Macaca fascicularis: one gene and its partner. The protein of the gene in region 2 binds, or shares a complex with, the protein of the main gene of each other region. Links are inferred from orthologs where the notes say so. Each region holds a gene or a part of one and is shown on either strand. Other genes may lie near its edges.

What was found.
Region 1: EIF3G (region 2) and EIF3F share a complex: the UniProt entries of both Homo sapiens proteins name them as parts of the eukaryotic translation initiation factor 3 (eIF-3) complex. The link is inferred for Macaca fascicularis from reciprocal best matches to the Homo sapiens genes EIF3G and EIF3F.

What each region holds. Positions count from the first base shown.
Region 1 is NC_088388.1:57,827,062-57,832,982, forward strand, and holds the end of EIF3F (eukaryotic translation initiation factor 3 subunit F), read right to left. Parts: intron 5,699-5,921; coding exon 5,561-5,698; intron 4,010-5,560; coding exon 3,918-4,009; intron 3,463-3,917; coding exon 3,326-3,462; intron 3,191-3,325; coding exon 3,077-3,190; intron 2,503-3,076; coding exon 2,425-2,502; 3' UTR 2,276-2,424; downstream 1-2,275. UniProt on the Homo sapiens protein: Component of the eukaryotic translation initiation factor 3 (eIF-3) complex, which is required for several steps in the initiation of protein synthesis.
Region 2 is NC_088393.1:10,661,844-10,668,684, forward strand, and holds the start of EIF3G (eukaryotic translation initiation factor 3 subunit G), read right to left. Parts: upstream 4,358-6,841; 5' UTR 4,298-4,357; coding exon 4,278-4,297; intron 4,139-4,277; coding exon 4,092-4,138; intron 3,601-4,091; coding exon 3,517-3,600; intron 3,409-3,516; coding exon 3,320-3,408; intron 3,210-3,319; coding exon 3,150-3,209; intron 1,718-3,149; coding exon 1,613-1,717; intron 1,521-1,612; coding exon 1,331-1,520; intron 593-1,330; coding exon 485-592; intron 357-484; coding exon 220-356; intron 120-219; coding exon 13-119; intron 1-12. UniProt on the Homo sapiens protein: RNA-binding component of the eukaryotic translation initiation factor 3 (eIF-3) complex, which is required for several steps in the initiation of protein synthesis.

The DNA of each region.
Region 1 (5,921 bases), on a different chromosome or scaffold from region 2:
TCTGTGGATTTTGCGGCTTCAAGTGGTCCCCAAGCACAGTGCCAAGTGTTCTTAAGTGCAAGAAGATTGTGATGTGCCGCCTGGAGAAACTGAGGTAAGCTTCACTCAGGAATAAGTTAGTGTGGTGGGCTGAGTTCAATGTTAATGAGTCAACCATATATACTAAGGTATCTTCAAACAGAAACACATGTAACAAGTTTATGTACTGATCGGTTGATGAAAATGTGACCAGAGGATCATAGGAACCCAGTCCTGCATTTCCCTTGGGAATAATGGTTCAGTACTCTCTAATTCAGTGTTCATGGTGACTTTATAAAACATAACTACTATAGATAATGAGAATAGACTGTATATATATATATATGCAGTCAACTCTTAGTATTTGTGGAGGATTAGTTCCAGAACCTCCCTTGGATATAGAAATCCTCTGATGCTCAAGTCCCTAATATGCAGTATTTAGATATAACCTGTGCATACCTTCTCATATACTTTTAAGTCATCTCTAGATTACCTAATACATCTAGATACCCAATACAGTATAAACACTATCTAATACTTGAATTGTTTAGGGAAAAATGACAAGGAAAAATGTCTGTACAGGTTTAGTCCAGACACAATTTCCCCCCTCAGTATTTTCAACCTGTAGCTAGTTGAGTCCATAGATGTGGAACCCACATATACAGACAGCCAACTGCATGTCTAAACAAGTTTCACTTGTTTTTGAACTTTTGGAGTATCATAATGCATGTCTTCTGAGACCAGCTTTTTTCATTCAACACTATTAACATTCACCTATGTTGTTACAGCTGGAGGACAACTTATATGTCCTTGTTTTAGATGTGTCTCCTGTAAACAACATACAACTGGGGTTTGCTTTAATATTCAATTTTTCCTCGGGCTAGTTTAATACTTACACATTTATTATAATTACTGATGTATTTGGACTTGTTTTGCCATCTTGTTTTATCCACCTTTTCTATGCTTATTTCTCAAATTTAAAATTTTGTTTCTTGCCTATTATCCCACCATTTCTCATCACTATTCATTTAGGGATTATATATACTTCTAGCAATTAACCTTGGAATTTTATCATGCATACTTAAAAAGACTAAGTTGATATTAACTGGCTACTCCCAAAAATGTAAGAAAACTTTTTTGACTCGATTAACCTTCTTCCCACCATGCTCTCTACTTTTAACCTCACAGTTTGGCCTGTCATTACCATTTTGCCAGTAAGATCTGTTTACACTTCCCTACCTGTAAGAAAGTATCTATCATTACTATCCATACTTTATGACTCCCATAACTTGTATTTCCTAAGGTACATATCTCAGAACTGAATTCCAGGCTGGGGTTCATATTGCTTATTACTTTCAAACTATTCAGCTTTAGGTATCATAGCATCTACCACTTATCTGTGCTTACTACATACCAGGCGCTATTCTCTACAAGTGGTGATTAACCTGACATTTATTAATTCATGGAATCCTCATAATACCCTAATGGACTATGTATGTTTATGATCCATATCTTATGACTTTTATAATAATTTATCTTTCCTAAGGCTACACATACCTCAGAACTAGGATCCAGGCCTTTTTGATTCCCCATTGCCTTCATCCACCTTTTCACTCCAATATGTAATTTCCTGAGTTCTTGAATAATGACTTGTTTCTTTCTAAGACACACAGTGGTGAGGTGGAACTCCAGGATACCAGAGGAAACGGATGTCTGAAGTTACACAGGCAAGTACTCTAGCCTACAAAGCCTCTGGGAAATGCCATCTAGTCTTTGCTCAAATTGAGCCACTGGCAGACCTCAATATAACTGAAGGCTGTACCCTCAAGTTACAGATAGCACCTAAGAATTTTCTGAAGTTTTGGGGAAACCTCTTTAATCTTTAACCCACAGATCTTAATTGTCCCTCCCCAAACTAAAGTGGCAGACAGCTCCATCTTACTATTAATGTATTTTAAGATAGTGACTACACACTCTACTCTTTTAGTTTAGATTAAGCATCCAATTTTCTCAGCTATTTTTTCTCCATGGATTCTTATTTTCATTTCCTACAGAAATCACACGAATCCTCAAGAAAAGGTACAGTTTTGCCAATGGACACCTTTCCATATTGAAAACCAAAAGAACAGTTTGGTAAAACAGTAACCTGCCAAACACATAACCAACTTTTTTACCTACAATATTCACTTCCTGGTTTCTGTGTGATCTAAAACATTTTCCTCCCTTCCACCCGGCAATAAACTCACATAAGATGAAATTAATTTACAAAAGGTAGGCTATGTTTATTAGAGTCACACACAGTTGACTGTCTCAGTGTGACTCAAGACCACAAAAAACCCATTTCTCCTTCACTTCTGAGTCCTGGGTTTAAGACCTATACCAGCAGGCGTACTGCTTGGGGTCCATTCACAGGTTTACAAGTTTTTCATTGAGGGCAATCTGTGACTGTGTGAGGTTGGCCAGGTAGGTCACCATCAGCAGGTCCTGGAAGACAAAGAATACACAATGAGTGGGGGGTTGGGTGGAAAGGGAGCAAAAAGGCTGGCACTGGCTGGCTCTATGGTGGGCACTAGGTATGAGGACAGTTGTGGATAAATGACAGCTGGGAGAGACCGAATAAAAGTCAAAAAGGTAGACGACAGAAAAGAAATGCTTGAGAAGACTTTCTTATCTCTACTGAGACACTTACAGTCTAGGGGTGCCTTAGCTGAAACCCATGGATGGAATATAGGGGGTCCGTGAACTCAGATGGGGAAAACAAGTAATTGCATTTTCCTTAACCTCTGAATTTTAGTGTTTCTTTCTATCACAAATTTAGACAGTAAGTCACAGTAGCATCAGCAGTAAATGAGACAATGTAATCACGGGAGAAGGAAGAAGTCTCCAAACATGCATACCACACCTCTTCCTTCCTCCCAACCTGGACTTCCATGGGGCTATAGGTGAAGCCCTGTCTCTATCCTACTCCAGGCCACCTCACCCAACTCTTCACATTTGAGTGTATGTGCTGAGGTAGGGGAAGAAACCAGGCAAGCAGGGGCTCAGGAAGGGCACTCACATTGATGTTGCTGTTGAGCATGGTCTCGAAGTCATCGGGAACTATTTTGGGTACTTGGTTAACCAGGCTCATCAGGAAGCGGCCCACAGTATTGTCAGCTGACACCTTTCCAGACTGAGCACCAAAACAAAGACTCAATGAGGCAGTTAATTATAACCACTGCGCCCTACCATTTCATCAGCACCTGCCTCAGTAATCCCAGGATGGAGAACTATGTCCTCCCCCTTTGTTTTTTCTTTCCCCTCTCACCAGTACATCCTCTGCATATTGCAACACTGTGCTCAGGGCATCCTGGATGCGAGCTGATGCCCCTCCTACTTGCTGCAAGTCACTTGAGAGTCCAATCACTCTGTTGGGGCTAAAGCAGGTCTTCATGATCAGGTCAACTGTGGAAGTTGGGTGGCAGTGGCAGTGGTGGGCAGTAAGAGAGAGAATTCAGTCATCCCACCAGGAAAGAGATGGCCTTAAAGTCCTGCTAACTCTGTTTCCCACCTCCCCTTAGACAGTCTGCTCAATCACACTCCCTGCTGTGCCCTTATCAGCTTTTCTTCCTCCTAACAGAGCTCAACTCCTTTTACCTGGTATGCTCATCACCGGTTTTGATCTCATATGAATGGTCATGTGGCCTCTGGTGCTGATAATTTCCCACCTTTAACAGTTTCTCAAATAACTCCTTAAATCCCATTTATACAAGAGATGACTGTAACTTCTAGTCTTCACAAACCTTAGATCAATAGTCCCTTTTTAAACCACCCAAGGCCTCCATCCTTGTTGCAGAACAGCAGCCCCCTTCCCTGAAAACGCCTATGACCTCTCAAGAGAGTATGGAAAGGTTACTCACCTCCGATGCGTTCAGTGTCATAGTATGCGTATTTCACTGTCAGAGGTGTGAACATCACTCCCATGGTCCTCCCAGGGACACCCATTAAAGTACTGAGGAAGGAGAAGCCAAGGTAAACAGATGGCCTTGGGAGAGGGTTTCCATGTCTATTCTGGGCTGAGAATGCAGATACAGCAGGAATATGGCTCCCAAGGTTCTAAGACAGGAAGGGTGGGACCAAATGAACCCGAGGTCTCATGGGAGCAAAAGTTACTTTCTCCCCTTAGCTTGTCCCACATACCAAACCTTTGATCTGTAAGAGGGGACGCAACCTTTGCACCTGGCCTGGTCCCTTTAGAGGATTACTTCACACACGGTGCAGTGTCAGTGATGAGAGGACAGGACTCAATTACCCATGGAGTTGGCTGTCTATATAGCTGCCCACCATGGAAAAGAGACAGAGACAAGTCTTTTCTGGGACCAACCCCTTCATCAGCATTGAAAAAGGAAACCAACTCCTGCTCACCAAATCAGATTGGGTGCTATAAGTAATCTCACTAAAGGTATTGTTTTTACTATGTCAATTATATACCTGGATCTATACTTTACTATGTCAACTCTCTATCTATCGTATCTATCTATCTATCTATCTATCTATCTATCTATCTATCTATCTATCTATCTATCTATCTATCCATCCATCCATCCATCCATCCATCCATCCATCCATCCATCCATCCATCCACCCACCCACCCATCCATCCAGCTGGATCATATATATATATATATATATATACTGGATCTTGAGGAGTCTGAAATACTTGGGAAGGCTAAGAAGTCAGGCAATGGCTAGTGCTTAGTGGTATGCCAACTGGCTCATAAAGACTTGGCATCCACCATCTTTGTCTTACTGTGTAAGAGTTAACTGGCTTTGTCAGTGTCAGACACAGAACCAGCACGAAATCAACAGCCTAACAGATGCACTAACAGCTGCCTTCCCTCTGACTTTCCAACTCCCACAGCTGCTTCCAACTCCCACAGCTGCTTCCTCAGCACACCACCAGGGCCTTTCCCAACATCCCCCTTAACTGGCATTTTAACCACCTGCAAGCTCAATGTGTTCACTGTAATGTCACTGTCATTAAAACTGCACTCAATCCTGGGTTAATTAATGTGTTCAAAATAAGGACAGTCATCCTTTAATACGTACTACCCTGAGTACTGCGCTGAGTTCTAGAGACGATGACAAACTAATGGGTAATTCAGAAAAGTAATGAATGTGGTGAAGGATCATGACAAGAATACCACATGATGACTGGCTGTAGGAACTATGGAGTCAGGTTCTACAAAAGACGACTTGATAGCTTGCTCAAATACCATGTGATGACTGGCTGTAGGAACTATGGATAATTAGGTTCTACAAAAGATGACTTGATAGCTTGCTCAAATACTTAAAAGGGCAATGAGTAGAAACTGGAGTACAACTAGGATCAGCGGTACAAATTATAGGAACAGATTCTGTTTCAGAGTGAAACCGTTTGAATAACTGTTGAGAGAGAGGAACACAGCAAGTTACACACGGAAGGAATGAACCTTGCTTGGGGTGGGGGAGGGATGGCATCTAGGCATGGTTTTATGCCCTTGTAGCCCAAGACTGTGGTCACCTGACATAGGCTTTGATGCTCATGCGGCCGTTCTGGAGACTTGTGTCCACAGTGAGGTGGATGGGGTTGGGGGCCTCTCGGCTGTAGTACTCATGGATTAGCACAGAGTGCTCTGTGATGTCATGGCCTGTAGCGTACCTGTGAAATGGAACACAGTTGCAGACTCATGTCTATATGTGACATCAACATCAAACACAACAGTGGCATGGGTGTCTTTAGGGTACCCAATACCTCTATGGTAGGGATACCTAGTGATACCAAATGCCAAGAACAATATATACATTGAAAACTATGTCAAATAAAATCAAAGGCTGACTTAGTGCTGCTGAAAATTCCAAGTCTCTTACAAGGTAATTCAAAA
Region 2 (6,841 bases):
GTGGAGTCTTACTTGGCCCACTCGACATTGAGAATGAGGTGGTCGTAGCCGAAGCCAGACACCCCGGCGATGGCGCGCGCGGCATCCTCACGGCGGTGGAAGCTGATGAAGGCGAAGCCCTGTGCAGGGGCGGGGTGGGGTCAGGGGCACAAACTAGGACAGGCGACCCCAGGACAGGTGACCCTCACACAGCCCCGTCGCACCCGCCTGCCTGCCCACCTTGGACTGGCCGGTGGTCTTGTCCTTAGCCAGGTAGATGCGGGAAATGGAGCCGAAAGGCCGGAAGAGCTCCTGCAGGTCGGTCTCACGTGTGTCCTCTGACAAGTTGGTGACACGGATGGTGGCGTTGTCGTCGGCTGTGTGGGAGAGGGGAGGTGGCTGTGAGGGGGAGGCCCCTGCCCGGCCCTTGTGTGCATGCTTTGGGGATAATTACGAGGTGCCGGGAGATGCCCACCCACCAGCCTGGCATCAGGGTGCCCCTCACCTCTGCGGTTGGGCTGCATGGACTCCCCGCGGCGGCTGGCCCCGTCGCGCAGGCTTGGTGGCACGTACTTCCCTGTCTTGTTCTGCGTGGCCTGCACCGGCTCCAGCTCTGGGGACCAAAAGACAGTCAACTGAGTTCAACCTCACCCTGGCGCAGGAACAGGGACACAGCCGCCCCAGGAGGCTCAGGCTTCAGTGCTGACCCAGCGCAGGCACCGTGTGCCAAGCCACAGGCAGCCAGTTGGCCACGAGGACACCAAGGTGACACCTAGGAAGCTGACACCATTTGAGCTCCTGGCCGGTGACAATGGCGGAGGAAGAGGGAGCCCTGACCCCACCCCAGAGAGGGTGGGTTGGGGGGGTGGCGACGGGAATGGCAGCCTCACATCCACAGCGACAGCAGGCATGGGACACACGACAGGAACAGTGCCCAGGTTTCCCTCGCATGGTAGGCGACAAATGCACGTCTCCACTCTCACACTCACCACCAGCAATCCCACCAAAAGATTCAGACGTTACAGCCACAGGCATGCAACGGAGACACTACACACACAGTGTGTACACACAAGGGCCGACAGACAGCAGCTCCCATCAGGACAGTCATAGGGCCACCAGCAGAGTCACAGCTGCCAAGTCACACATACACGAGAGACGCCGGTCTCCCAACCACAGGAGGTACAGCCAATTAGGAAGGCACAGACGCCCTGAGAAGAGTCGGGCGCCATCAACCCTGCCACGCTGTCGTGTGGGAGATGACAGCACAAAGGCAGCACTGGGGACAGAACCCGCGCACTGACAGCAGGACCCCCCGCCCCCGCCATGGCAGCCAGCATCCCCAGCCCCGCACCTCCCGGCAGCTTCTCCTTCTCGCCGGTAGACAGGCCCAGCTGCTCGGCCAGCTCCTTCTGCATGGGACCCAGCGTGTCCTTGTAGGGGCAGCGGGTGGTCCAGTGGTCGCCCTTGCAGATGCGGCAAGACACGATCTTCTGGCCCTTGAGTTTGTTCATGGGGTCCTCCTCCTCCTGGCAGTTCAGGTCCTGGCAGGGGCGGGTTGTGGGAGCTCAGAGGCGGCTGAGGCACCCCCTGTGCCCCACCCCAGCACGCCAGCCCCCCCGAACGCCCTGCTCACCTCTTTGCTGGTGATGAACGTCATAGAGACGTCATCACTGACGGTGGTGGTGGCCACATTGGGTCCCGGGGGGTCAAACTCCGAGTTCCCGAACTTCTTCCAGTTCTGGGCTCAGGGGGGGATGGGGGACAGTTGAGGGCAGGGGCAGGCAGGGTTCCACAGTGGGGTACCCTAGACCTACAGCAGCCATCCCCAGAGTACCTGGGCCTCGAACCCCATTTTCATCCTCCTCAACCACTCCCCAAATAGTCCTGGCGACAGTTCCCATTTCCTGAGTACACGCCAGGCCCAAGCTCCAGGTGACAGCTGTACAGCCTGGGGCCTGTGCAGGCTGGCGGACCAGCTCCCACCAGGGCGTGATACTCAGGGATGTGCAGGGGTCTACCCAGACCTCCGGGCCCTTGAGCTAGACAACCTGAGCCTCAGCTTCCTCCCTTCCTCCCTTATCAAACGGGAACCACAAAAGCTTCCTGCCTCCCTGGGCTCCTAAGGAGACTGAATCAGAGAGACACTCCCTGCAAGGCGTTTGCCATGGGGCATGTTACAATTAAGTGCACAGCAAGCTGTTCTAAGTGTATTTATTGCTAATGCCTCTAACTGCTGCGACCACCTCCTGCCTCTGTTCCTCCAGGCTGACAGGCCAAGAGGAACAAGAATCTAACCCCGGCTGGGCCCGGTGGCTCCCTCCTGTAATCCCAGCACTTTGAGAGGCAAAGGTGGGAGGATCTCTTAAGCCCAGGAGCTGGAGACCAGCCTGGGCAACATAGTGAAACCCCATCTCTACAAATAATTAAAATTAGCCGGGTGTGGCAGTGCACACCTGTAATCCCAGGTTGGCTTGAGCCTGGGAGTTCAAGGCTGCAGTAAGCTATGATCGTGCCACTGCACTCCAACCTGGGCAACAGAACTGGACCCTGTGTCTTTAAAAAAATTAAAAGAATCTAACTTTCACTCGATATTTATAATGGAATTTATTTGACATTTATTAATATAATTTGATATCTATCATCAAACTTTTATTAGATATTTATCATTTATTTAATCGCTATTTATCATCGACTCCTATGCCCTGGACTTTCCAGAGTCCCAAGAGAGTGTAAGCACTCCAGGCCTCAGTTCAGCTTCAACAAAATAGGTACAAAGAGTTAAGCCCGGCTGGGTGCGATGGCTCACGGCTGTAATCCCAACACTTTGGGAGGCCGAGGCAGGTGGATAACGTGAGGTCAGGAGTTCGAGACGAGCCTGGCCAACATGGCAAAACCCCGTCTCTACTAAAAGTACAAAAATCAGCTGGGCGTGGTGGCGCATGCCTGTAATCCCAGCTACTCAGGAGGCTGAGGCAGGAGAATCACTTGAACCCAGGAGGCGGAGGTTGCAGTGAGTCGAGATCGTGCCACTGCACTACAGCCTGGGGGACAGAGCGACACTCTGTCTCAAAAAAAAAAAAAAAAGAGTTAAGCCCCATCTCTTAACAAAAAGGTCCCGGAGCACGGTTTCCCAATTCCTCTGGGTTAGCCCTGGGGAAGGAGCGCCTCACCTTCCTCCTTGCAACAGCCTTTGAAGCCTTCCGGGTCTCAATCCTGAAGGTGCGGACAATCTGAGGATGGCAGGGGAGAAGGGTCAGGCTTCTGGGACTAGGGGATCTCCTTTACCAACCCCCTCAGCATACCCCGCCGCCTTCTGGTCTAAGGGCCCCCCTACCCTCACCTTGAACTTCTTGCCATCCTCATCTATCTTGTACTCTGTCACTGTCTTTATGTTTCCGTTGATGACTTCCTTGGGAGGTGGCAGTGGAGCTGGGAGAAGGGGAAAAACAGAAGGACTGAGCCCTGGGTCATGGGGATCAGGAGCGGCAGGGCTGGAGGGAGAGGCAGCCCGGACACGGAGTGGCAGTCCTCACTCACCTCCCGGCAGTAGCTCTGGCTCTGGGCTGGTGTCGCCAGTGGCCAGAGGGATCCCCTTGAGGAGCTCGCTGGTGACACATTTGTCTGCAAGAGGCAGCGTGGGGAGGAGGGGTCAGGTCCAGGGCAGGAGCTCCCCAGCTGCGATGGAAGGGCCTTTGGGATGATGCCTACAGCAAGAGCTGAGAAAGGCAGGTCAAGGGCAGAGGGCTGACCAGGCAGCGCACTGGGATAGCCCTGTGGGGACTTGGAGTGGCAAAGATGGGGGATCCCTCGTAGGAAGGTGGGTGCCAGGCCATGAAGCCAACCAGGCGCCAGTAGAGAAACAGGAGACGGGAGATTACAACTTCCTCCCTGGAGTAAGGCAACAGCTGGGAGGACTTCGGCAGTAACATGGGAGGAACAGGGACCCGCCGGGGAACACCTGGAGTTGGCAACAGGCAGGTCCCAAGGAGGATGGCGCGGGGCAGGGGCTGGTCGTGACGGGGGACACGGTGCCAGACTGCGAGATGGAAGCAGGCGTCAGTCGCCCGGCTCGGGCCTGGCCGCGATTACCCCGCGCGACCGGGTACACTTACCGTCCTCCCCCTCCTCCTCCACCTGGTCAGCCCAACTGGGCTTCGAACTGCGGAAACAAATGTGTGGGAAGCGAAGATTAAGTCAGCAAGGCCCGGTCCCCGCAGCCTCGGCACACCCAGGCCCCATAATACTGCCCAGAGCACCCCAACCGCTTCCCATGCCCCCCTCCGCGATCCCGGACTCACTCAAAGTCTCCAGTAGGCATCGCAAAAAGTATTCTCCACGCAGCCCAAGCCTGGCCAGAGAGCGGAAGTGGGTGGAAAACGAGACTTCCGGTGTCGCCGTCGCCGCTAGAGAGGCCCAGCCGCGGCACCCACAACGACACCTGCGGACGGAGGTGGAGGCGCACGCGGCTGTGTGTGCTGCTGAACGCTGCTGGTACCAGAGCAGGGCTGGCGGGGCAGAGGCTGATTTCAGTGCTGGTCCTATTAACCTTTAAAATTAAAATAGGCGGGGCGCGGTGGCTCAAGCCTGTAATCCCCTCACTTTGGGAGATCGAGGCGGGCGGATCACCTGAGGTAAGGAGTTCGAGACCAGCTTGGCCAACGTGGCGAAACCCCGTCACTACTAAAAATACAAAAATTAGCTGGGCGTGGTAGTGCGCGTCTGTAGTCCTAGCTACAGATTGGAGGCTGAGGCAGGAGAATCGCTTGAACCCGGGAGGTGGAGGTTGCAGTGAGCTGAGATTGCGCCACTGCACTCCACCCTGGCGACAGAGCGAGACACCGTCTCAAAAAAAAAAACAAAACAAAAAAAACCCCACACACACAAAAAACCAAAATTAGCCAGGCGTGGTGGCGGGCGCCTATAATCCCAGGGACTCGGGAGGCTGAGGCGGGAGAATCGCTTGAACCCACGAGGCGGAGGCTGCAGTGAGCCGAAATCACACCACTGCAGTCTAGCCTGGGCTGCAGAGTGAGACTCTGTCTGAGAAAAAGAAGTAAAATTAAAATAAATAATAATAATCATAACAAGGCTCACTTATTGAGTGCTTGTTGTATATGAAGCACGGTGAGGAGGATATTACTTCCATTTTACAGCTGAGGAAACTGAGGCTCAGACTGGGTCCGGTGGCGCATGCCTGTAATCCCGCACTTTGGGAGACTGAGGTGTGGGGATCGCTTGAGGCCAGGAGTTTGAGACCAGCCTGGGCAGCATAGTGAGAACCCCTGTCTCTAAAACAGAAAAAAAAAGAAAAAAGAAACCAAAGCTCAGGGAAAACAATCCTTTTGCTTAAACTGTTCCTTATCTTCTTTCCCGATCTCAATGATTCAGATGCCAAGTCGCCCCCCTCCCCAGCCACTCCCTCTTCTTTTCTTTGTAGCATTCTTGGCTTTCCGGTATAATTTTGTGCATTTACTTCTTTATGGCTCAGCTGCTTGCTCTAAGCACAACCGTCCTCAGTTGGAGTGATTCATGATGACTCCCCAGGGGAAAAAACTGCTTTTCAGGGAGGAAAAAAATCTTAGATATTGTGGTCTTCTAAAGCCAGCTCTATCAGCCATCTTATTCCTAAGTATTTAGTTTCTGCCTTTAGGGAGATATTAAATGTAATTATATTGAAATTAATTTAGTTGATGTAAATTCAATTTTAGAATAATTCGGGTTTTCTCCTAAGGAGGGTGATATGAACAAAAAAAGTTTGACAATGCCGGATGCAGTGGCTTACAGGTGTAATCCCAGCACTTTGAGAGGCCGAGGCGGGCAGATCTCTTGAGGTCAGGAGTTCAAGACCAGCCTGGGCAACATGGCGAAACCCGTCTTTACTAAAAATACAAAAATTAGTTGGGTGTTGTGGCCCGCGCCTGTAATCCCAGCACTTTGGGAGACTGAGGCAGAAGGATCACTTGAGCCCCGGAGTTCGACCAGCCTGGGCAACACATAGCAAGACCCCCATCTCTAAAACACATTTTTTTTGGGGGGGGATGCAGTCTCACTCTGTCGCCCAGTCTGGAGTGCAGTGGCACAATCTTGGATCACTGCAACCTCTGCCTCCCGGGTTCTAGAGATTCTCCTGCCTTAGCCTCCCGAATAGCTGGGATTACAGACTACGGCCACCATGTCGTGCTAATTTTTGTATTTTTAGTAGAGATAGTAGAGACAGGGGCCCGCCTCAGCCTCCCAAGGTGCTGGGATTACAGTTGTGAGCCTGGCCCCTAAAAAAAAAAAACAAAAAAAAAAAGAAAACAACAACTTTAAAAAAATTAGCTGGGCATAATTCTGTGTGCCTGTAGTCCCAGATACTTAGGAGGCTGACGTGGGAGAATAGCTTCAGTCCAGGAGGTTGAGCCATGATCACACCACTGCACTTCAGCCTAGGCAACAGAGCGAGACTCTGTCTCGAAAACACAGACACAGACACACACACACACACACAGACACATACATGCAACAAACAAAACAAAACAAACTTGTAAGGGAGAATGGCCTGAGAAAAATAAAGAAGAAGACAGGAAAAACAAAGTTTATGCTGTTTATCCTCTGAGGTGTGAGTGAGGAGGCCACTCAAGGGTTTAGAATATCACCAGCTTTTCTTGTGGAAAAAATTATTCTAGAAGCCTGTAGAGACCCAAGTGGAAGGAAAAACATTAGCTGGAGGCAGGAAAGAGAGGCACACCGCTGCGGTTTGCGGCGGTTTTTCAGGAGGGTGTCCTGGCTATGTATATTGGTGAAAATATGAAGCTGGTCCAAAGGGCTGATAAACATTTGTACAAGCTTACTCAAATGTACTCTGAGCAACACAAAATCC